6 linked regions of the Callithrix jacchus genome follow. Each later gene encodes a partner of the first gene's protein in a complex. Links are inferred from orthologs where the notes say so. Each region holds a gene or a part of one and is shown in the gene's direction. Other genes may lie near its edges.

The links.
Region 2: PPP4R2 (region 1) and PPP4R3B share a complex: the UniProt entries of both Homo sapiens proteins name them as parts of the PP4 complex. The link is inferred for Callithrix jacchus from reciprocal best matches to the Homo sapiens genes PPP4R2 and PPP4R3B.
Region 3: PPP4R2 (region 1) and PPP4R1 share a complex: the UniProt entries of both Homo sapiens proteins name them as parts of the PP4 complex. The link is inferred for Callithrix jacchus from reciprocal best matches to the Homo sapiens genes PPP4R2 and PPP4R1.
Region 4: PPP4R2 (region 1) and PPP4C share a complex: the UniProt entries of both Homo sapiens proteins name them as parts of the PP4 complex. The link is inferred for Callithrix jacchus from reciprocal best matches to the Homo sapiens genes PPP4R2 and PPP4C.
Region 5: PPP4R2 (region 1) and PPP4R3A share a complex: the UniProt entries of both Homo sapiens proteins name them as parts of the PP4 complex. The link is inferred for Callithrix jacchus from reciprocal best matches to the Homo sapiens genes PPP4R2 and PPP4R3A.
Region 6: PPP4R2 (region 1) and PPP4R4 share a complex: the UniProt entries of both Homo sapiens proteins name them as parts of the PP4 complex. The link is inferred for Callithrix jacchus from reciprocal best matches to the Homo sapiens genes PPP4R2 and PPP4R4.

Annotation. Positions count from the first base shown.
Region 1 is NC_133516.1:54,865,091-54,868,590, forward strand, and holds part of PPP4R2 (serine/threonine-protein phosphatase 4 regulatory subunit 2), read left to right. Parts: intron 1-9; coding exon 10-299; intron 300-555; coding exon 556-881; 3' UTR 882-3,500. UniProt on the Homo sapiens protein: Regulatory subunit of serine/threonine-protein phosphatase 4 (PP4). May regulate the activity of PPP4C at centrosomal microtubule organizing centers.
Region 2 is NC_133515.1:58,603,867-58,607,366, forward strand, and holds part of PPP4R3B (serine/threonine-protein phosphatase 4 regulatory subunit 3B), read left to right. Parts: intron 1-2,584; coding exon 2,585-2,716; intron 2,717-3,500. UniProt on the Homo sapiens protein: Regulatory subunit of serine/threonine-protein phosphatase 4 (PP4). May regulate the activity of PPP4C at centrosomal microtubule organizing centers.
Region 3 is NC_133514.1:53,379,232-53,382,731, forward strand, and holds part of PPP4R1 (serine/threonine-protein phosphatase 4 regulatory subunit 1), read left to right. Parts: intron 1-360; coding exon 361-456; intron 457-2,786; coding exon 2,787-2,972; exon of another isoform or gene 2,973-3,500. UniProt on the Homo sapiens protein: Regulatory subunit of serine/threonine-protein phosphatase 4. May play a role in regulation of cell division in renal glomeruli. The PPP4C-PPP4R1 PP4 complex may play a role in dephosphorylation and regulation of HDAC3.
Region 4 is NC_133513.1:29,443,165-29,447,262, reverse strand, and holds the start of PPP4C (serine/threonine-protein phosphatase 4 catalytic subunit), read left to right. Parts: upstream 1-1,298; 5' UTR 1,299-1,383; intron 1,384-1,608; 5' UTR 1,609-1,672; coding exon 1,673-1,770; intron 1,771-4,098. UniProt on the Homo sapiens protein: Protein phosphatase that is involved in many processes such as microtubule organization at centrosomes, maturation of spliceosomal snRNPs, apoptosis, DNA repair, tumor necrosis factor (TNF)-alpha signaling, activation of c-Jun N-terminal kinase MAPK8, regulation of histone acetylation, DNA damage checkpoint signaling, NF-kappa-B activation and cell migration.
Region 5 is NC_133509.1:126,317,256-126,320,755, reverse strand, and holds part of PPP4R3A (serine/threonine-protein phosphatase 4 regulatory subunit 3A), read left to right. Parts: intron 1-2,534; coding exon 2,535-2,612; intron 2,613-2,692; coding exon 2,693-2,809; intron 2,810-3,500. UniProt on the Homo sapiens protein: Regulatory subunit of serine/threonine-protein phosphatase 4. May regulate the activity of PPP4C at centrosomal microtubule organizing centers.
Region 6 is NC_133509.1:128,995,894-129,000,087, forward strand, and holds the start of PPP4R4 (serine/threonine-protein phosphatase 4 regulatory subunit 4), read left to right. Parts: upstream 1-1,394; 5' UTR 1,395-1,570; coding exon 1,571-1,687; intron 1,688-3,146; coding exon 3,147-3,220; intron 3,221-4,194. UniProt on the Homo sapiens protein: Putative regulatory subunit of serine/threonine-protein phosphatase 4.

The DNA of each region.
Region 1 (3,500 bases):
CATTTACAGTGACTCTTCGACATCTGAATCAGAAGTTTCCTCAGTGAGCCCTATGAAAAATAAACATCCAGATGAAGATACCGTGGAAGCCGAGGAGCGTGAGGTAAAAAGACTCAGGTTTGACAAAGAAGGTGAAGTCAGAGAAACAGCCAGTCAAACGACTTCCAGTGAAACTTCGTCAGTTGTGGTAGAAGAAACAGGAGCATCGTCTTCATCTCAGGATAAAGACAAAGAAAGTCATTGTACCCGGCAGCACTGTACAGAAGAGGATGAAGAAGAGGATGAAGAGGAGGAAGAAGGTATTTAGAGACCATCTGTAAAAGGGTGGAGTAAGGAGATCCTCAAATTCTTGTACTTCATTTTTTTTCGTGAAAGAATTTTACATAACGGAACTCCTTATAATGCTGATGTTGGGCTTTTCTCCCTCCTGTATGTAGTTGCTGCTGAATTTCAGGGGATATGATTTGAACTATAGAATATCAGAATTCATGAAACTTAACTGTGGAGGTATTTTGAAAATAAAATTTAACTACAACAACATTTGCTTATTTTTAGAGTCTTTTATGACATCAAGAGAAATGATCCCAGAAAGAAAAAATCAAGAAAAAGAATCTGATGATGCCTTAACTGTGAGTGAAGAGACTTCTGAGGAAAATAATCAGATGGAGAAATCTGAAGTGTCTCAAGCTGAGAAAGATTTACTGCATTCTGGAGTTAGTGAAAACGAAGGCCCTGTAAGTAGTGGTTCTTCTGACTGCCTTGAAACAGAAGAATTAGTAGGATCCAATTCCAGTAAAACTGGAGAGATTCTTTCAGAATCATCCATGGGAAATTACGATGAAGCCACAGAAGTCACCGATGAACCAATGGAACAAGACTAACTATTTAGAAACATTTAGATGCAGTATTTTACATACAGTTCTGGTTTTAACACTGTATAAAACTTTTATGTAATAAAGTGGACCTTTAGTTTTACAGGAGAAGCAGGTTGTAAAATAAAGTACTTTATGGATAATTCCTGAAAGAGTTGTATATGTAAGAACTGTGAATATCAGCTCCTCTGGGTCCTGCTTACCTTACCGCTGACTTTTTTTTTTTTTTTCTCTTTATCTTTCTTTGGTCTGGGCAAATCAGTGGTTTGTGTATAGATTTTTTTTTTTTTAATTTGGAATTAAAGTTTTTAAACTGGAAGGTAATTTTGAAAAGTTTTTTGAGATTATCACATTTAGTTTATGCATATGCAAGAAGCTTCTTGTCTCTCTGATAGCTCTGGCAGTTTTCATATTTTGGTCATAGTTTCAACATATTAACATGTGAATTATAGGGTTTCAACCTGGTTTCCAGATTTTATTATTTGGCTATGTACAATGGAACTTTAAGTCATATATACATAAATATATATATATATATATATTATTCTAAGGGGGGAAATGTTATATTTTTCTGTTTCTATAAGAGATGAGTACAGTGGATACTTTTTCTATTGGTAATGATTGAGTTCACCTCTTTCAGAAGACATTTTCTTTCTCTTCTGAGTAATTGAAATAAAATCTGGCCCTTGTGAAACCCTGGAAATCTTGAGTCTGTTGAAATACCAGGCTAAACACATTCCAAGAGATCTGTTCAAACTCAAATTGTTTTGTATACTTGTGAGGTGCCTGAGAAAAAGACTTCACTATTTATGAGAAAATATGCTTTATCTTGGAAATTGTGTTCAAATGTTAGCTTACTCTTTTGTAGAATGAATGCTTATGAAGCTGATATGAGACCATCTCAGAATAACCAAGCAGGTTCCTTGACCTTTTGCTTGCTTTTCAGAACATTGTGAATATTACACGTCTTTCTAAATTATTCTAGAGTATGCAAATGTCAATGGTATGAAACACCACTGTACTGGAAGAATTAATATATTACTTTAGTTATGTACCTGAGCTGAATGACTGAAGCTTTAGGGGTGCATAGAAACCACCATAATTTGTATGACATTTTGAAGTGAATTAAATATTTTTGAACATGCTTCTTCGACAGCCAGTGTTATATTTTTCAGACCAACACAAAGCACAATGATTACTCTAAATTCAATATTTTCAAATTTACATATTTAAAGTCATGCAAGCTGCAACCTCCCTGTCAAAATTACTGGCTGCCAAATTTATACCTGTTTCTTCAGCTGTACCTTTTGATATTTAGAGTTTTTAAATTTCTGTAAAGTAGATTTTGTAGAATGTAATGTGTTCACTGCCTTTGTGAAGCGGTATATAATTGTATAATTTCTGTGTGTAAACTGAATGCTTGGGCTTTCAATACAGTATTCATATAAAGCAATAAATATTAATGTTATGAAATATTTGAGTACATTTTTATCAAAATATGAAAGAATCCCCCTTTTTTTAAGTTTCAGATACGTGAACTACACAGATGAGCTTCTAAAAGTGATGCCAACAATTTCTGACACTGTATTATATGCTTTTGGGTGATTTGGGGGGCAACCACGAGTTTTGCGTTTTGACTACTTAAATTGTCATGACTATAAACACAAAAACGATTTGGATCTATTTATGTTTGTAGGATAATATACTACTGACTGACTTGACTGTCAGATTCACAGCAGCTAGATGATATATTTATGACTATGTCTAATAGTTCGAATAAAATCTTAATATGGATTAACTGTACCCAAGAGGGAGAAAAAATTAAACATTGTAAATTTTAAAAGATTTTCAAAAATGTTAAAATGAAACAAATTTAAGTTTAGAAATTTTGAAAGTTTCTTTAGAATATTTATGAAATTGTCAGTAAACCTACCTAAGATCCTGTGACCTTTGATATTTTTTAATTGTAGTGCCATGGACCATTTGTAAACGAATTGATGTACTTTTGTTGGTTATAAGTTGAAGATTTAGCATTATGACTTTGAGGTCTGTGGTTTTATTTGTAAACTTGCAATTGCTATATTTGCAAGAGCAAATGTATTTCTTTATTAAATAAAGTACAATAATGGTGAATGTACCAAAGTGACATCACTTAACTCTATGAGAGATCTGCATTTTAATCTATAGTTTAATAATTTTAATATTTATTAGATACTCATATGTTGATCATAGATCAAACTTGTTGCTGTTTATACAGATAATTGTAGAATGCTCATGGAATATCTTCTTTAGGGTAGGTGGAATACTTCTGTAGTTAAATTGGGAAACCTTGTTAAGCTGGTTTTAGATACTGATGGCCATTTGGAAGTAAATTTCCGCAAGTATGCATAGGTGCACTTAACACAGACTTTGCTTAATGAAAACGTCAGTTCTAATAGTAACTGATTCATTCATGAATTTTTAAAAGGCTGATTTTAGGCATATTTCTTAATATACATCAAGCAAAGTCCTGTTAAAAGATCTGAGTGAAGAATCAAGACCTCAGTGATTAGTTTTGTTTTTGACCTTGAGCAGATTGCTTACCTGTTCTCTAGACTATAACCCAACATGTAAAAAGAATTTCAAGAT
Region 2 (3,500 bases), on another chromosome or scaffold:
CCCTTTACCCCTAGTTACTTCAGTTTCCACCAGCTAAAAACTCTTACATTATCACAGTATAATTATCAAAATCATGATACTAAGATTTTTGTAATACTAACATCTGACTACAGTACTCATTCATATTTTATTCTTTGTCCCAGTAATGTTCATTTTAACCAAGACAAAAACAAAAAGTTTCTGGTCCATTATCCAACAACTTTGGTTGGTCTGTTGTTTCCTCACAATTAGTTCTAGTTACTTCTTTGTGGCAGGTATGGCATTGAAGTAATATTTCCTTTAGTATGTCACATCAAGAAATCTCCCCAACTTTTAAAAATGAATGTACGGGTTGTGGTGCTGGTCCCCCTAACTTTTAAAAATGAATGTGCAGATGTGGTGGTGGTGCATGCCTGTAATCCCAGCTACTTTTCAGGATGAGGTGGGAGGATCTCTTGAGCCCAGGAGTTCAAAACCAGCATGGGCAACATAGCAAGACCCCACTCAAAAAAATCAAAAGAGATTGAGCTTTCGTTTTCTCTGTCCAGGCTGTTTGTTATTACACAGACTTAAGAAGTTTGAGCATTATGTTCTGTAGAATTTGAGGAGCTACTTACATTTCACTCTTCAAATATATCAGAATGAGTTGAAAGAAGTATTGATGTGTGTGTGTGTGTGTGTGTGTGTGTGTGTGTGTGTATGTATATGCTATATATACTCATCCCTCAGTTTCTGTGAGGGGTGGGTTCCAGGAAACCACCTTCCCCTCCCACTGGGACATAAGGTTACCAAATTCCAATTATGCTCAAGTGCCTTATATAAAATGGCATAGAATTTGCATATAACCTATGCAAATCTTCCTTTTTATTTTACATTATAATACAGATATAATGCAAATGCTATAAATAGTTGTTATACTGTATTGTTTAGAGAATACTATTTAGAGAATAAGAATAATAAAAGAAAAAAGTCTGTACATGTTTCAGTATGAATACAACCATTCTCTTTTTTTTTTCCTTTCCCAAGTATTTTTCATTGTCACTTGGTTTAATCCGTGAATATAGAACCTACAGATACAGAGGGCCAACTCTATTTCTTACATACACACACATGTACTTAGAAGCATTCATTTAAGTTGCTGTAAAGCAAATTTTGTCAGTAGCTTTTTTTTTTTGAGACAGAGTCCCGCTCTCAGAAGGCTGGAGTGCAGTGATGTGATCTCGGCTCACTGCAACCTCCGCCTCCTGGGTTCAAGCAGTTCTCCCTGCCTCAGCCTTCCAAGCTGCTGGGATTACAGGTGTCAGCTACCGCACCTAGCTAATTTTTTTGTATTTTAGTAGAAACAAGGTTTTGCCATGTTGGCCAGGCTGATCTTGAACTCCAGACCTCAGGTGATCCGTCTGCCTTCGCCTCCCAAAGTGTTGAGATTACAGGCGTGAGCCACCGCACCCAGCCAATTAATGGACTGTTTATTAAATTCTTGTGTTTGTATTAAGCAAACTGCAAATGTTTTTACAATATCCACCAATTATTTTTACTCTACCAATTCAAATATTCTTGCTCTTGCCATTTCTTCTTTTCTCCTCTTATTTACTGTATCTATCAAACCTAAGATTTGCAGATGCTAATATTTTCTTGATCTTACCAGACATTGTCAGTAGATTGTTATGTAATTTTGTCATGATTACCACTTCACTGATAGTGACTATCAAATGCCATCAATTACAAAATGTATCTTAATTTTAAGAGGTTAAAATTTTTAAGAAATCTGTTTTAGAATCAATGAAACAAACGATTTTCTTTATCTTTTCTAATCAGAAAATAGGGATGCCAGCTTAGAATCAGGACAGTCTCTACTAAAAATATGAAAATTAGCCAGGCATGGTGGCTTACGCCTGTAATCCCAGCTACTCTAGAGGCTGAGGCAGGAGACTCATTTGCAGTGAGGTTGCAGTGAGCCCAGATTGCACTGCTGCACTCCAGCCTGGGCAACAGAATGAGACTCCCTCTCAATAAGCAAATTAAATAAATAAATAAATAAAACACAAGAGCATGTTACTAATGTAACAACGTATCTATTTAATATTAGATCGTTATATAACATGGTGTTCACTTGCATGAAGAGTTGTGTACTGGGTTATTTTTGGTCATTTTTTTTTTTTTTTTTGGCTTGGAAGGATTTTCTAATTAGAGGCTGACATAATTTATGTCTTATGTTCCCATGATCTTGCTTGTTTAGTCAACCTCTAAATTTATGCCAAAGTCTGAGACCCAAAATGAGAAACTGTTAGAATCTCCACTGAAAAAGAATTAATGCTAAAGAATTTTGTTTTTCCTTTTCTATAAGCTGCAGCATTCTCTGTTTTTGTTTTTTTCTTCTTTTTTTTTTTTTTTGGAGTGGGTTTTTTTTCACTCTAGTATGTAGTATGTTTCTAGAACTTTCAAAAGCATTAGAAATAAAAGTTTAAATAAGCTTTCCCATTCTTTGCTTTTTCTCAATATGATTCTCATTTTGCTCTTTCAGTTAGTGTTTTGTCTTAGATCTAAACCAGGACTAATGGAAACATATTTTGTTTTGTTTTGTTTTGTTTTGTTTTGTTACCAGGATATTCTTCTTATTAATGTGGTAATTGAACAAATGATCTGTGATACTGATCCTGAGCTAGGAGGCGCTGTTCAGTTAATGGGACTTCTTCGTACTTTAATTGATCCAGAGAACATGCTGGCCACAACTAATGTAAGAAATTATTCTGAGATAAAATGTTTTGGCCTAGTCAGTTTTAGGTAGCTTTTTAATAAAATTTTGAGGAACAAGTATTTTAAGTATTTGTCTAGTTGGTATTTAAGTAGCAGTGGTATTCTTGTAGCAATTTATTTGTGGCAAAATACAAAATTGTAATTGTTAAAATCTTAGTAAAATGTTAGGAATACCATTTATGGCCCTTGACCTCTATGTGTTAATTTCTTTAATACACAACATTGTGAATATACTTAACACTACTGAACTGTATACTTAAAAATGATAAATTTTTAAATAGTAAGTTTTATGTGGTTTTTATCACAAAGGAAAAATTTAAATATACTGAACTCAATTGCATAAGACATGTTAAAAGATTTAAGGATTAACTCCTTAATACTTAAGGATTAGACACTCCGGAATATTAATAGTCATTCTCTCAATATGGAGGAATATTTTTCTTTATAAGATTTCCTCATCTTTAGATAATATGTACATTGTTTTTAAATCATTACAAGTTTGTATGCCTAATTGTGTAAAAAAAAGTGGCAAATTCCAAAGACATTGTTTTCCAAATTATAAACTTTTAAAATGTTAAAAATTGATTTAAATGTTGTCTCTTCATCTAGTGACTTGATAAAGTGATTCAGTGGTTTTTCAAATTTGCATAGAGATGGTGAAATCTGGGGTTCCAAATTTTAAGTAGTTAAGTTGCTATCACATGGGCTTAACTGGTTCTTTTGCTTTCTAAAAATTTTTATTCTTCCAAAACAGGTTCAAATGT
Region 3 (3,500 bases), on another chromosome or scaffold:
ATAGAAGAAAAACTGCATGTGACACTCCATGGTCTCTAGAACAATGGACCAAAAGAATCTTCCCAGTACTATTTTATGAATAAGCCAATTTGAGCTATTTGGACCATTTCAAAATTACTTTGAGATATTATTTTCAGTTACTCTCATTTTTCTGGAATTGGTTTTCATGCATTTGGCAACCTATTCAGTAAGATAGATTTAAAGCAGGAAAAGTTCTTAGGTATGTTTATAAGCTTTAAAAACATGAGGAATTTATATGTGTTATTACTTTTGGCAGTCTTGAAAGGTAAGTAACTTAGATAGCTAAAATGAAGATGTACAGACAGGATAGCTCTTTAAGTAGTTATTTTTTCCTAACAGAATATGGACTCCACTCTTCACTATATTCACAACGATTCAGACTTGAGCAACAATAGCAGTTTCAGCCCTGATGAGGAAAGGAGAACTAAAGTACAAGTAAGTGACCAAAAAAATGTATTCTTTTGTGTGTCTGTTCCTAATTCCTCTTTTAGAGCCCATTTCTGACCTAATTTGACCCTTCTTTATGATGAATGTTTTAAAAATTATGACTAGTATATCATATTTTCCATTGAAATAGTAGAGGAACATGTAAGCACAAATCTTCCCTTTCCTACCCCTGTGATCCCATTCTTCCTTCAGAGTGACCATGATCATGAACCCTGCTATCTTCCTTCATGTATCTTCATGGGCACATAAATGTACACATGTACCCCTTTTTATCATTCAAGACAACTGTGGTCATCCCATCCTACCTAGGTATGTCCTCATGTTCCCATTGCCAATAATTATAAAATATAGCTTGATTTCAGAGATGAAAATATTTTTAAAAAGGCTCAAAGCCATTTTAAAGTGCTGTCAGTAACAAGCTGCAAGGAAACTGTGCTCATGGAATCACTGGAATGTGATAGCTGTGCCTTGCCTTGCTCTTTTTTTTTCCTCTTCTAACAATGTGACCTGGTGATCTCTCCTGTAAGCACACCAGGACTCCCTCACCTTCACAGCAGCGCAGCACAGTGTTAACGCCATACCTGTTGTCTCCCTCGTAAGAAACCGTGAGAGATGCTACCTGTTGTAGTTTCACTTTGATGCTATAAGTAGTGCTACATTCACCATGACTGCCTATACTTGTTGTTTGCTTCTAGGACTTTATTATTATTTGAGATGGAGTCTCCCTCTGTTGCCCAGGCTGGAGTGCCGTGGTGCCGTCTCGGCTCACTGCACCTTCCACCTCCTGAATTCAAGCCATTCTCCTGCCTCAGCCTCCCAAGTACCTGGGACTACAGTCACAAGCCACCCTGCCCAGCTAATTTTTGGTATTTTTAGTAGAGATGGGATTTCGCCATTGGCCAGGCTGTCACGAACTCCTGACCTCAAGTGATCCGCCTGCCTTGGCTTCCCAAAGTGCTGTGATTACAGGTGTGAGCCACCACACCTGGCCTGGACTATATTATTATTGTTAGAAGTAACAATAATTTCCCAGGTCAAATGGTATATTTTGTTGTTATTTTTAGAGATGGGGTCTCAGCTCCCTCTGTCACCCAGTCTGGAGCACAGTGGCAGGATCATAGCTCACTGCAGCCTCGAACTCCTGGGCTCAAACAATCGATCCTTCTGCCTCAGCTCCCCAAGTAGCTGGGACTATAGATGCGCACTACCGTATCTAGCCAATTTTTATTTTATTTATTAAAAATGAAATATTCAAAACAGTGTTCTGAAACATGCTTCTTCCCCACTTACAGACATATTTTCAATATTTCAAATCATTATTTTAATGAGTTTATTTCCATTTTCATTTTGTGTATATGGGTAATTTGTTTATGTAGTTCAAAATTCAAGATACTTAAAAGGCATTCAGTGATGTTTCCTTCTCAGTTTTTCTTCTCCATTCATCCATTTTGCTTTTGAGATACAACCAGTTTTACCTTTATGTCCTTCCATAGCTATATTATACACACCTAGGCAAGATCGCAAATATGTTCTTCTTTTCTTCACATATATACAAATTGATTAGAGATGTGCTCTTCAATTTTGTATAAAAAATTGCTTAAATTTTCATCTAAAGAAGCCATGTTTTTAATTTTTGTTTTGAGGCAGAGTCTCGCTCTGTCACCCAGGTTGGAGTACAGTGGTACTATCATGGCTCACTGCAGCTTCTACCTCCCTGGGCTCAAGTCATCATCTCACCTCAGCCTCCTGAGTAGCTGGAATTAGAGGTGTGAGCCACCATGCCTGGCTAATTTTTTAATTTTTTAGTAGAGACAGGGTCTCACCATGTTGCCCAAGCTGGGCTCAAGTGATCCACCCACCTTGGCTTCTCAAAGTGCTGGAATTACAGGTATGAGCCACTGTGCCTGGCTGTTTTTTTTTTAATGAACATGTAAATTGTGCAGAGCACCTGTTATACTGCATTTGCTGGGTTACAACAAGCATTATCATCTCTGCCTACATTTAAAGGTGCTGGTGTTATTTTAATGTGTCTTTTCAATTTAGTAATTAATTCTAATTGTCCTTTGAGCTATTTTCTGTTTTAAGATGTTATCCATTGTTTTCCTAGAGTTACTTTTATTTGTTCATATATGTTTCCCTTAACATGGTTTTCGTATCTCTTAGTTTATTAGATACCAGAAAATTTGGCATTGGTTTTTCCCATTTGAGATGCTATGTTAAAATCTGTATATTTAAAAATAGTTTTGCTCAATTGATATCTAAACTGCTCAAAATGTATCTCAGCTCCTCAGTCACTGTGGTTTCTCTTTCTCCATTAGGATGTTGTACCTCAGGCTTTGTTAGATCAGTATTTATCTATGACTGACCCTTCTCGTGCACAGACGGTTGACACTGAAATTGCTAAGCACTGTGCATATAGTCTCCCTGGTGTGGCTCTGACACTCGGCAGACAGAATTGGCACTGTCTGAGAGAGACATATGAGACTCTGGCCTCAGACATGCAGGTGAGTAAAGCAGTTAAAGAATTAGCAGAACATGCATGTGGAAAGCACAGTGCTTTGCTTTTTGTAACCTAAAGAATTTCTGTTCATGTTCTAGCATGTACTTAATGCTATAGGAAATTATGTATGGAAGAGCTTAAGAGTAATAATGGCTTCTTCTCCGATAAAACATCAAATGGTGGATGATGCTGGTGCAGCGGAGGGGGGCGTGGGCGGGGATGCCGGAGGCCCCGGGCACCCTGGGGGCCCTGGGATGGGGAACCGTGGTGGCTTCCAGGGAGGTTTTGGCAGTGGCATCTGGGGCCGGGGTCGTGGCCACGGAGCTCGTGGACGCAAAGCTGAGGAAAAGGAGTGGATGCCTGTCACCAAGTTGGGCCGCCTGGTCAAAGACATGAAGATTAAATCTCTGGAGGAGCTATATCTCTTCTCTCTGCCCATCAAGGAATCTGAGATCATTGACTTTTTCCTGGGGGCCTCTCTCAAGGATGAGGTTTTGAAGATTATGCTGGTGCAGAAGCAGACCCATGCTGG
Region 4 (4,098 bases), on another chromosome or scaffold:
AAAGAAAGAAAGAAAAAGCAACTAAGAAATGTTAAGGGGAACATTTTGGAATCACAGAAATCATGCTGACTGAGATACAGGCTTGGCATAGGAAAGGTGGACTCCAATTTGTTAACTTCTGAAGCTGTCAATGGCAAAGATTTCTCTGAAGGCACCGGAAGAGATTTGAATTGGGCTTCCTTCATCCATTGAACAAGTATTAAGTATTTCTATGTATTAACAAGTATTTCTAAATGCTTACCATGCCAGGCCTTATTCTAAGCACTGGGGCTTCAATATTGAAAAAGACAAAGTTGGATCCTCCAAGGATTGTGGTGTCGGATAAATAACAAAAATGTGTAACTTAAAAAAGTGTAACATAAAGTTACAAGGCCTAGTCCCAGCTCGACTTGTTTCCCTAGCTGAAATGGGGATGACCAGGCGTGGTGACTGAGGCCTGTAATCCAAGCACTTTGGGGGGCCGAAGAGGGAGGATCGCTTGAGCCCAGGAGTTCGAGATTGAAGTTAGCTATGATCGCCCCACTGGACTCCAGCCTGAGCAAGAGAGCAAGACACTATCTCTAATTTAGAAAAAAATAAAAGTTGTGGCCGGTCGCAGTGGTTCACGCGCCCATGAACCCAAAGTAATCCCAGCACTTTGGGAGGCCTAAGCGGAAGGATCACCTGAGGTCAAGAGGTTGAGACCAGCCTAACCAATGTGGAGAAACCCTGTCTCTACTAAAAATACAAAACTAGGCCGGGCATAGTGGCTCACGCCTGTAATCCAAGCACTTTGGAGGCCAAGGCGGGAGGATCACCTGAGGTCGGGAGTTCAGGACCAGCCTGACCAATATGGTGAAACCCCGTCTTAAAAAAAAAAAAGAAAACTAGCCAGGCGTGGTGGCACACATGCCTGTAATCCCAGCTACTCGGGAGGCTGAGGCAGGAGAATCGCTTGAACCCGGGAGGCGGAAGTTGCGGTGAACCTAGATCGCGCCATTGTACTCCAACCTGGGCAACAAGGGCCAAACTCCGTCTCAAAAAGAAAAAAGAAAGTTGTCTAAATTTAAACATTTTTATAAAATGAAATGGGAGGGGACTGGTCTAGGGTTTCTAACAGCCCAACATCACCTGCGGCTGAGCCCACAAACACTTCCGCTGGCCTCCAGCTGCCACCGGATTACTCCCGCTCCTTCCCGATTTCAGACTTGGGAAGTGGTGCCGGGGGCGCGAGGAGGGAGGGTGAGGAGCGTGTATGACGCCACATCCGGCGCGCGGCGGAACTGGCTTCCCTTTGCTTCCGCGGCGGGGCCGGAAGTAGAGGCGGCGGCGGCGGCGGCCCAAAGCGGAGGGAAGTCGGGAGGCAGGAAGCGCCCCATAGCCGGAACCGGAGTCGCAGCGGCGGTAATAATGCGAGACCCCTCTAGGCCACCGTCCTTAGCGCGAACCGTGGGATTCGACGGGAGTTAGTGGGGGTCCGGCCAGGCCGTGGGACGCTGGGGGGGTCCCGGGGCCGATGTGAAGGGAGGCGGGGGTGGGGGTGGGGCCGGGCTGGCCCTAGAATCCAGTTGTCCGCTCCTCGCCCCTCACGGACACTCTAATCCGCGGGCTTGTCTTGGCCTTTCCCAGGAGACCCCTGTGCGGTGCGGAGGGGGCGGTGGCCCCGACTCTGACCCGCGCCGGGGGGTGGGCCATGGCGGAGATCAGCGACCTGGACCGGCAGATCGAGCAGCTGCGTCGCTGCGAGCTCATCAAGGAGAGCGAAGTCAAGGCCCTGTGCGCTAAGGCCAGGTGAGCCCGTTGGCCCCACGGAAGGGAGGCCAAGCCGCCGCCCACGGGTTCTGGCCTGGGGCAAACCCAACTGAGAATTTTGGGCTTGCCCCTTCCTGGAAGCTTTCCCAGAGAGGAACGGGATGGGGCCACTGCGCTCGAGGAAGAGCTAGCCTGCTGGGGGAAGACAGCTGGATAAAGACACTTAAAGTATTAGAAGATGTGTTTCCAGTGGAGTAAGAGTGTTACGTAAAGTACTTAGGAAACCAAGGGAAACAAGCCCATCTGTCTGGGGGACAGAAGCTTCTGGGGGTGGGTGGCGAACTGTGAGACAGGCCTCGAATAAGGAGTTGGTAAAAGAGTCAGCAACAAAACAAAGGTTTAAGACAGGAAGGTTAAAGACGCTGTGATTTATAAAAGTCTGAATTCCAACAACCACCCATAAAGGTTGGCGTATTGTACTCATTTTACAGGTGAGGACTGTCATGTTCAAAGTTACCCACAAGTAAGGAGTGGAGTCTGAAGCCAGTTCTTAGTGTCCTGTCCTTTTTCAGGCCATAATGCAAGAAGGTGGATTTGGATCACTCACATTCAGGATGGGACCCTGAGAAATCGTAGCAAGTAAGCCAGGATAGAATTAAGCATGATATGGCCGGGCGTGGTGGCTCACGCCTATAATCCCAGCACTTTGGGAGGCCGAGGCAGGTGGATCACGAGGTCAAGAGATTGAGACCATCCTGGTCAACAAGATGAAACCCCGTCTCTACTAAAAATACAAACATTGGCTGGGCATGGTGGTGTGCACGCCTGTAGTCCCAGCTACTCGGGAGGCTGAGGCAGGAGAATTGCTTGAACCCAGGAGGCGGAGGTTGCAGTGAGCCGAGATCGTGCCATTGCACTCCAGTCTGGGTAACAACAGTGAAACTCCATCTCAAAAAAAAAAAAAAAAGAATTAAGCATGATAGGAAGGCCAGTTTAAAGTTCTGTGGGAAGTAGGATGACCTAAGGCTCTAGGTTTTGGAGTGTGAGATGGCTCTAGGTTTGAATCTGAACTCTGCCACTTACTAGTTGTGTTAGTGATCTTAAGGTGTCTTTACTTGCAAAGCAGAGTTAATAGTACTTAATAAGATGGTTGTGAAAATTCAGTGAGTTGCTGCTTAAGTTTAGCACAGTGTCTTGGTACAGCATACATGCTTGATAGTCACTAGGTGTTCTATTTCTCTTGGATGAGGGCAACGATGAGATGGGCTAAAGCCATCAGGGAAGGCTACTAAATAGAGGTAGACCTTGAAGGATGAAGATAATTTGGCTAGCTGACAGGCAGGACCAGTGAGGGAAGGGCATTCCAAGCAGGACAAGTGTAGCATTGGAGGCCCTGAGAGTGTGAGGAACAGTCAGGGGTTTAATTAATTACCTGCCTTCTCTGGGGAACTGTGTGATTGTGACTTCTACCAGGCTGGTGAATTGCGGCAGAAGAGCCCGCAGAATTACCCTATGTTTATTGAACTATACACCCACTATTGGCCTGGCCCTGTACTGGCGAAAAAACGTCTATTCGTCTCTTCCTCCCAGCAATCCTGAGAGGTTGGAATCATTTGCTCCATTTTACCGAATAGGAAACCATGACTCGTAGAGGCCTGGTGACTTGACTGAGGTCACCCACTGAGGACATGGCAGAGCTCAGTTCTGAATCTGTGGCCCCCAGGCTTTTTGCTCGGCCCCACCTCACAGACTCCCTGCAGCCAGACAGGGCCTCTGAGGGGATCGTGAGCAGGGTGGGCCTCTTTTTCACCCTGTCTGTGGCTTTTCTCTTTTGCCAGCTGAAGGAAACGTCCCTGACCAGACCTGCCCCACCGTGTTTTTAATTGTCCCCTCTCCCTCAGTCCTGATGGGCATTTTTAGGAACTTAAACCTGTTGTTGTCTGGCACTATTCTTTTCCTCTGAAGTCTTATCTCCTGCGCAGGCCTTGGATCAGTGTGGTGGCGATGGTAGATAATGCTTGGATAGCATGCTGGAGTTTGCAGAATAGGAGGAAGTTATATATTCAGTCTCCATGGCTCCTTGTAACAGCCTAAGGAGTAGGCATGACGGGGCTGAGTACTTAACCCCATTTCGTGGAAGAAGAAACAGCCTCTGAGTAGATAATGTCTTGTCCAACATCGTGCAGCTAGTTGGAGGGGAAGTTAGTTGTGCATGCAGGTTTTTGACTGTGCTCTGTGGTCACTGAGAGCCAGGCGGAGGCATTTAGATTTTCATATGGGGTGTGAGGCAGCAGAGAGCTGTGGAAGGCTAACGGGTGGAGAGTCCTGCCCAGTTGAAACTGAGTGGAGCTAGGAGGTACTAGGCCA
Region 5 (3,500 bases), on another chromosome or scaffold:
AGATAAATGTATTATGACTTGGAAGATCTTTTAAGACTTTACCTCAGGTCTTCAAGTAAAATAATTACTTGAAATCTTAATTTATTAAGTATAGAAAGGAAGCCAATAAATGTAATGGGAGCTGTTTGGTAGCACACATTACATATGAAACAATATGTTTTAATCTTCGTGTCTGTTCCTGTTTAGAAAGTTTTTTATTTCTTAAGTAGTAATAGCTAGTGATGGGCAAAAAAAGGAAAAGTATGAATTAAAATAGAAAAGGCCATTTTACCTATAACTGCTTTCCTAGAGCTAGTAATAATTCTAGTTCATATTGACTGATTTGACATGTTTTCCATTCATTTAAGATACACGTGTAAACAAACAATATAGGCAATGTAGTCTGCTAAGTACAATAGTAGTCCTCTATACAGCATCTCGTGATTGATAATGGAGGAAGGAGTAGGGTTCTGGTTCCAGTTTCTTTTTGTTCTTTAATGAGGAGCTAGTTTTCCCTAGCTAATGGAGCCTCGCTGTTCTGGTCCAATTTTGATTCCTAATTTCCTTGGATAGTCCTGAGTTCTCCTGATCATTTTCTTTAGCTTCATATGGTTCTGTTTTGTTATGTGGTGATTTGTCACTTATGTGTTTTCTTGGTCTTCATACATGCAAAATGCCAGTTTTACTCATTAAGTATGAATAATTTCAAGTTGTCAAATCTTTGCTTCACTGCAATATGCTGTGTAAAATACTGGCTGCCAGTATGTCTGTTTTTCTTGATGACGGACACTTCTATCCAAAGTGCTGCTGTGAACATTTTACAAATGTTTTAGCAAGAAGTGATTGAGGTACTGTTTAGTGCAGGTTCCTGCCCACTTGTGTAGCCCCACGCACACATAATATCACACCCTCTTGTTAAGATTGATTTATTCCTTTGTAGTACCATAAACATCCTTATTTTCTCTACTTCTATACCCTCAACCTCAGCAGTTCAGAGAATGCCTTTTTTTAACCATTTGATATCCAGTTGGTAGAATATAGTATATTAGGGATACGTCTTGAAATTGGATCCTATTTGGGTAACAAACATGGTGAAGATCATATTAATGAGGTATGACCTGTTTGTACATTTTAGAAAAAGTAAAGAGGGAAGTAATAACCAAACTAATTTAGTAGGGCCACAAAAGATTTTTCTGGAGTATTCACAACAGTGAATGTGGAGCTGGTAATCTAGTGTGTGTGTATTTAGAGTGAGGCATGTCTTGGGCTGGAGTGGTATTGACTCTACTTCCACTTGCTGAGATAGTATGTAATTAAAATAAAATTTGGGTCAGGCATGGTGGCTCATGTCTGTAATCCCAGCACTTCAGGAGGGCCAGGCCAGTGGATTGCTTGAGGCAAGGAGTTCCAAGACCAGACTGGCCAACATGGCAAACTCCATCTCTGCTACAAAATTAGCTGGGTATAGTGGTCTATGCCTGTAGTCCCAGCTACTAAGGAGGCTGAGACAGGAGAATTGCTCGAACCTAGGAGGCAGAGGTTGCAGTAAGCTGAGATGGCACCAGTGTGCTCCACCCAGGTGACAGAGCAAGACTGTCTCAAAAAACAAAACAAAACAAAAACCAAGATCTTGATGAAAAACTAGTGGTGAGAAACTGACCAGGCAATCAGGAAGGGTATTGGGCTTGGGTAAATTTTAAAATCCGTGTCTCAATTATAAAATGAGGAAGTAATACAAAAAGTTTTAAATTTTACTTTTTAAATAATTGAGTTATCCTCTGTATCTTTAAAATACTAAAGTAGCTTTATCTTCATTTTCATTCTCATTTGAGAGATTGTAGAACCTACCTTTTAAAAGTTAAGGTTATAAAACTTATAAAAGTGAGGGGTCAACAAAGGATGGTGCATGCCTACTTTTGTAAATAATGTTTTATTGAAATACAGCCATACCCATTCATTTACAGGTGTCTGTGACTACTTTCATACTACTGGAGCATGGTTGAGTACTAATAGTAGAGACCACATGGCCCACAAAGCTCAAAATATTTACTATCTCACCTTTAAATAGGCTTAGAAAATAGAGTCTTGCCAAAATTGTATTCTTTACTAGTTTGGTTTTTCCTTCTCTTGAACAACAAAAGAGCATTGCCAATACTACTTTTCCTTTTTTCAGTTATTGTCATTTAAATTATAGTGTCCTGAAATTATATTTTAGAGCGGGACACGGTGGTTCACGCCTGTAATCCCAACACTTGGGGAGGCTGAGACAGGCAGATCACAAGGTCAGGAGTTTGAGACCAGCCTGACCAACATGGTGAAACCCCATCTCTACTAAAAATACAAAATTAGCCTGGCATGGTGGCACATGCCTGTAATTCCAGCTACTTAGGAGGCTGAGGCAGGAGAATCGCTTGTACCTGGGAGGCAGGCTGTGGTGAGCCAAGATCATGCCGTTGCACTCCAGCCTGGGCAACAAGAGTGAAACTCCAACTCAAAAAAATTTTTTTTGTATAATCTTAGCATTAACATAATTGCATATGTCCTTTGTTTCACAGGAAGATGAAAAATTCCTGACAGATTTGTTTGCACAACTAACAGATGAAGCAACAGATGAGGAAAAAAGACAGGAATTGGTAAGAAATTAGAAATTATGAAAGGCATAAAAATAAAACAACAAACGTTTTATATTGACAATCTTTTTTTTTAATTTCAGGTTAACTTTTTAAAAGAATTTTGTGCATTTTCCCAAACGCTACAGCCTCAAAACAGAGATGCTTTTTTCAAGACTTTGTCAAACATGGGCATACTACCAGCTTTAGAAGTCATCCTTGTAAGTTTGTGTCTCCTCATTTTTAGTTACCATTTTGTATCCTAAAATTAATATTTTAGTGTAACATGCAAATATTCTTTTATAGCCAATATTTAATATTAGCTGGGTAGTTCATTAACTTAAAGAACCTATAAAATTCCAGTATTAGACAGTTTTCACACAGTATTGAAAAAATACAGTTAAGGAATTTTCCATAATTTGATGATAATTTGTCAGCTTTGCAATTTATTAGCTGAAATGTTAAAATATAAAGGCAAACAGAAATAAATGATTTAGAAAGTATAATTTTATCCATACAATAAGAGTTTTATATGCAGACGAATTTTTTTGACTTTTCTTTTACATTGCAGTTTTTTTTGTTTGTTTGTTTGTTTTGAGATGGAGTTTCGCTCTTGTTACCCAGGCTGGAGTGCAATGGCACGATCTCGGCTCACCGCAACCTCCGCCTCCTGGGTTCAAGCAATTCTCCTGCCTCAGCCTCCCGAGTAGCTGGGACTACAGGCGCACACCACCATGCCCAGCTAATTTTTTGTATTTTTAGTAGAGATGGGGTTTCACCATGTTGACAAGGGTGGTCTTGATCTCTTGACCTTGTGATTCACCCGCCTCGGCCTCCCAAAGTGCTGGGATTACAGGCTTGAGCCACCGCGCCTGGCACATTGCAGTTTTTTTAATATGCTGTTTTGTTAGG
Region 6 (4,194 bases), on another chromosome or scaffold:
TGGGAAACGGGTATCTTCCCACCTTCATGTGCCATTGGTGTGGGTGTCAATGCAAAGCCATCTGGAGGGAAACATGACAGAGTGAAGCCAAGCGCTGTGGACCTCATGACCCAGCGACTCGATTTCTTATGTTCTGTAAGGGACACGTCTAACAACCATTTCAACGTGGTCTGTGTAGCAAGGAACTGCTGGCGACCTCACTGTCCGTTATTGAGGAAATGGTTAGTAGAATATGTTAGACACAGAAATCAAATATTATTATTGGTCATAATTAATGAACTCGTTGTATAGTGTCACATGAATAGATCTTCTAAGAGAAAAAACAAGGAACAGAATGAGTTCTCATCACAACGCCATTCATGTATGTTAAAAACAGACACAAACCATGTATCTTTTGAGGCTGTATACAGTGCATGAACTGGGACATACCTTAATTCAGAAGAGGGCGCATATGGTGGGAAGAAGAAAGGTGTGGAGGAACAAGTGGAAAATAAAAACAAAAAAGGGGCCTTGCTGACTGACGAGCCGAAGGGTACCAACATAACTTGTTCCCCAGGTCCAAAACAATCGCCCCAATCCCCCTTCCATCGCTTCCCATTGTTAACAGAACTAAGTGCAAGGGACTCAACGTGGCTGTCCAGAGCAGGGCTTTCCCCCACCGAGGACCTAGGTCCTCTTCCTCTTCCACCCACCTCGCCAAGCCCTGGATGCCTGAGCCCGGAGCTCTACTTTGACGGCACTTCTCAAACCCAACCAAACACACCCAGGCTTCAACCCCAGACGGGCTTGCTCTAATTATTTCTCTTAGGAAAGCCTTATCGGTCTCTAAGATTCAGTTTAAATGACTCTTCTCCAGGAGGCCTTTTCCGATTGCTGCCCTTGCCCAAAAGCTAGTCACCCCCCGTCTGCCGGGCACCTCACGTCCTAATTGCTTATTTGCGGCACTCAGCCCTCCTCCAGGGTTGGAGCTGTGCCGGGGGCGGTCTCTGGGTCCGCTGCCCCGCCAGCTAGGGTGGGCGGTCTGGGAATAACTGGACAGTTAAGTCAGTAGGTGCAGCCGCAGCCCCGCCAGCTTCCTCTCCTCGGCTTCCGCTCTCATTGGCTCAGCCTCCCCGCCCCCAGCCCGCCTCTGCCGGCTGCGGGAGGCAAAAGGCTCTGCGCACGCGCCGCGGGGTGGGGCGCCCTCAGTTGCGGGCGGACGGGGGGTTAAGGAGGGCGGCGGGGAGCGGGCGCAGAGGGGTGGCGGAGCTGCCGCGTAGCTGCTCGGCAGTTGCGTCCGGCCGCGTGTGCGCGGCGCCCGGGAGGGGGCGGGGCCGAGGCGGGCAAGGTGGCGGGCACCCGCCCCTGGCCCCGCCCCCGCAGCGCGCCCGCGCGCCTTGCCCCGCCCCCTCGCCGGGCCCGCCCCGCCCCCTCGCCGGGCTGCGCTCGTGCTCCAGCCACCCGCCAGCCTCACGTTCTGCTCCGGCGGCCGAAAGCGGGAGAAAGTCCTGCTGGTGGGCGGCCGCTGGGCTGAGCGCGTCCGGCATCCCGGGGCCGCTCCGGCCCTGGTGGCGAAGGTGCCCGGCGGTCCATGCATCCGCCGCCGCCGGCCGCCGCGATGGATTTCAGTCAGAACTGCCTGTTCGGCTACATGGAGGACCTGCAGGAGCTCACCATCATCGAGAGGCCGGTCCGCCGGAGCCTCAAGGTGCGCCCCGGGGAGAAGACCTGCCCTCAGGGCGTCCGGCCGCCTGCCTCGCGCGGCCCCGCGCCGGCCTTCGCCCCACCCCGCCACCCTCCCCTTCTCCGGGCGGCCGGGACCCTCTCAGTCAGACCGGCCCCTCTGTCCTCCTCCAGCCCCTGTCGCCCTAAGCCAGCTCCTCCCGGACCCTTCCTCAGAGCGGACTCGGTCCTCTCAGTCTGGACCCCCATCCCCAAGAGACGGGTCCCTGTAGCAGCCCTGACCGGGCGCCAGCCCCGCGGCCCTTGCCCCTCCTGAGGCGTCCGAATCCCCCCGTCCCACCCCCAGGAACGGCCGAGCCCCAGCCCTCGGGGCAGCCCCAGCGTCCTCAGTCGCGGGCCCCCTTCCTTCCTTCCGCCCCCCCCGCGGGAGCTGCCTCTCGAGGCCGCAGCCCACTTCTCCCCGGTCCTCTCCTGGGCTCCCCGACCCCTGGTCCGCTGACGACGCCCGGGTTCTGGCCCCAGGCCCACCCCTTGGTCCACACCGCTCCTACTCCTCCCCCCACCTCTCCCGGAGACACCACCCGTGTCCCATCCCCTCACCCTTAGCCCACCGAGTCAGATCAAGCTCCGGTCCCCTTGCCCTCGAGGCAGCCCGGCCTCCCCTCGCCTCCCAGCTAGCACCCTTTCTCAGTGTCGTCCTGGTTCCGGTCTTCAAAGCCCTCGCGATCCTCTGCCGCCATCCTGAGTCACCGCGCATCCTTTCCTCCCAGCCCCTCCAGGACTCTAGCTGGGACCCTGCTCCCCAACCCCCTTGAGGGAGTCAACCTTCACCTTGTTCCCCCCGCCCCCACTGGCTTCCCCACCCCGCAGAGTCATCTTCCTCCGGGAGGTTCCTGCCCTTAGCGCAGGCAAACCTAATTTACGGACCCCTTTTCTGACCATCGCTTAATAGCTGCTTTAGCTGGTCTAATTCCCACCTGCCGCAATCTCAAATCTCTGTTTTTCTTCCAGCCCCAGAGTTTATTTTCCTCCCTCCCCCACTCCAGATCTTGTCCTTTTCATGCCCACTCGTCTGCAGTCTTCATCCATCCCCCCTTTTAGCATTTCGTGGGTTGGAAACTGCTGGAGAAATAGCCTTGAGGTATTAGAGATAAAAAGTGTGTGTATTTATTAGTTTTATAACATGCGTATGAAATGGATTTCAGCCAAGGTTCTGAAGCCACGATGCGATTCTCAAGCTGCAGTCTAGAAGCTAGAAGAAGAAAAACAGAAAAAAACAATCCCCTCCCCAAACTCGCCCACCCAATTAGAGACCTCCGTGATTGATGTTGCCTGGTATCCTCAGCTCCTTGATTACTTTTCATTGTTAATGCTTAATTGTGAAACTTTTTCATTCTTTTATCCTCATAGAGGTTCACTGGGAGGTTGGGGGGCAAGACTGACCCAATGTTTGTGGTGCATAATGTGTATTTTACCCTTGACAGACACCAGAAGAAATAGAAAGATTGACAGTTGATGAAGACCTCAGTGACATTGAAAGGGCTGTTTATCTGCTCAGGTATTTCCTAATCATTCTGTAAAATTGCTCTTTTTTTTCCCCCTGTGGCAGCATCGATGAATGCTTTCTGAAATGTATGTTCCCGTTATGTTCAGATTTACTTAGCCACTTCAACAAAGTACTTTTGTGTGCATAGTACTTAACTGTATTATAAATTATATTTGGCTGTGGACTTACGAATTTGAGAACCCAAATAAAATACGTAATTTATAGAATGTTGCTTGGAGGAGGAAGAACAGATGGTTTGAGTTGAACCTCATCTTTTTTTGTTCTTTTCTGGCATTGGTTCTTCTCATGTAAGATTCAGTAAGTTTAGATGAGACTTGAGTACACAGTGATTAGTTTTAAGTTCATTGTAGAGTATGAACATTATATGGGATCTACTATATGGAAAAAAATCCACAAATGTGATAGTTACTTTTGCTGTTCAGGATGTCCTATTTGTATTACTTTTGCTATGCAAGCTTTATTATTTTGTCTGAGGGGTTTTAGAAACTTAGTTGGGCCTACTGTCGTTTAAATTTCAAACCATCTCACAGGCTCTACAGAATTGCTTAAGGCAAATGGTTACTGCAAATATTTACAAGATTTTTCTGAACTATTTAAAACATTGCCTTGTAGACTGAGCATCTTAAAAACTAATACAGTGAACATTAATGATGTTTAACGAATTGATGAAAATCCTTTAGAAACAGAAATTTCCTACAGCATTTTGTGCATATTTACGTAAAAATTTTTCATTAGTTTACACGACATTTTTTTCCCTTTTGGCAAATTAGTCTTCACTTTCTCTTTTTTTCAGAATCAGATTTTGAAAGCTGATGTTATTTACCTCCTAGGGTATTTGTTGTCTTGTTTCTTTAGCTCAGCGCCAGTTTCAGGTACTGGCAAGTCTCTTGTTCTCCTTTCTTGTTTATAGATCGTGTTTCCAGTCCCGTGTTATTCACTGAATGATCCTTTGAAAAAAAAATCCC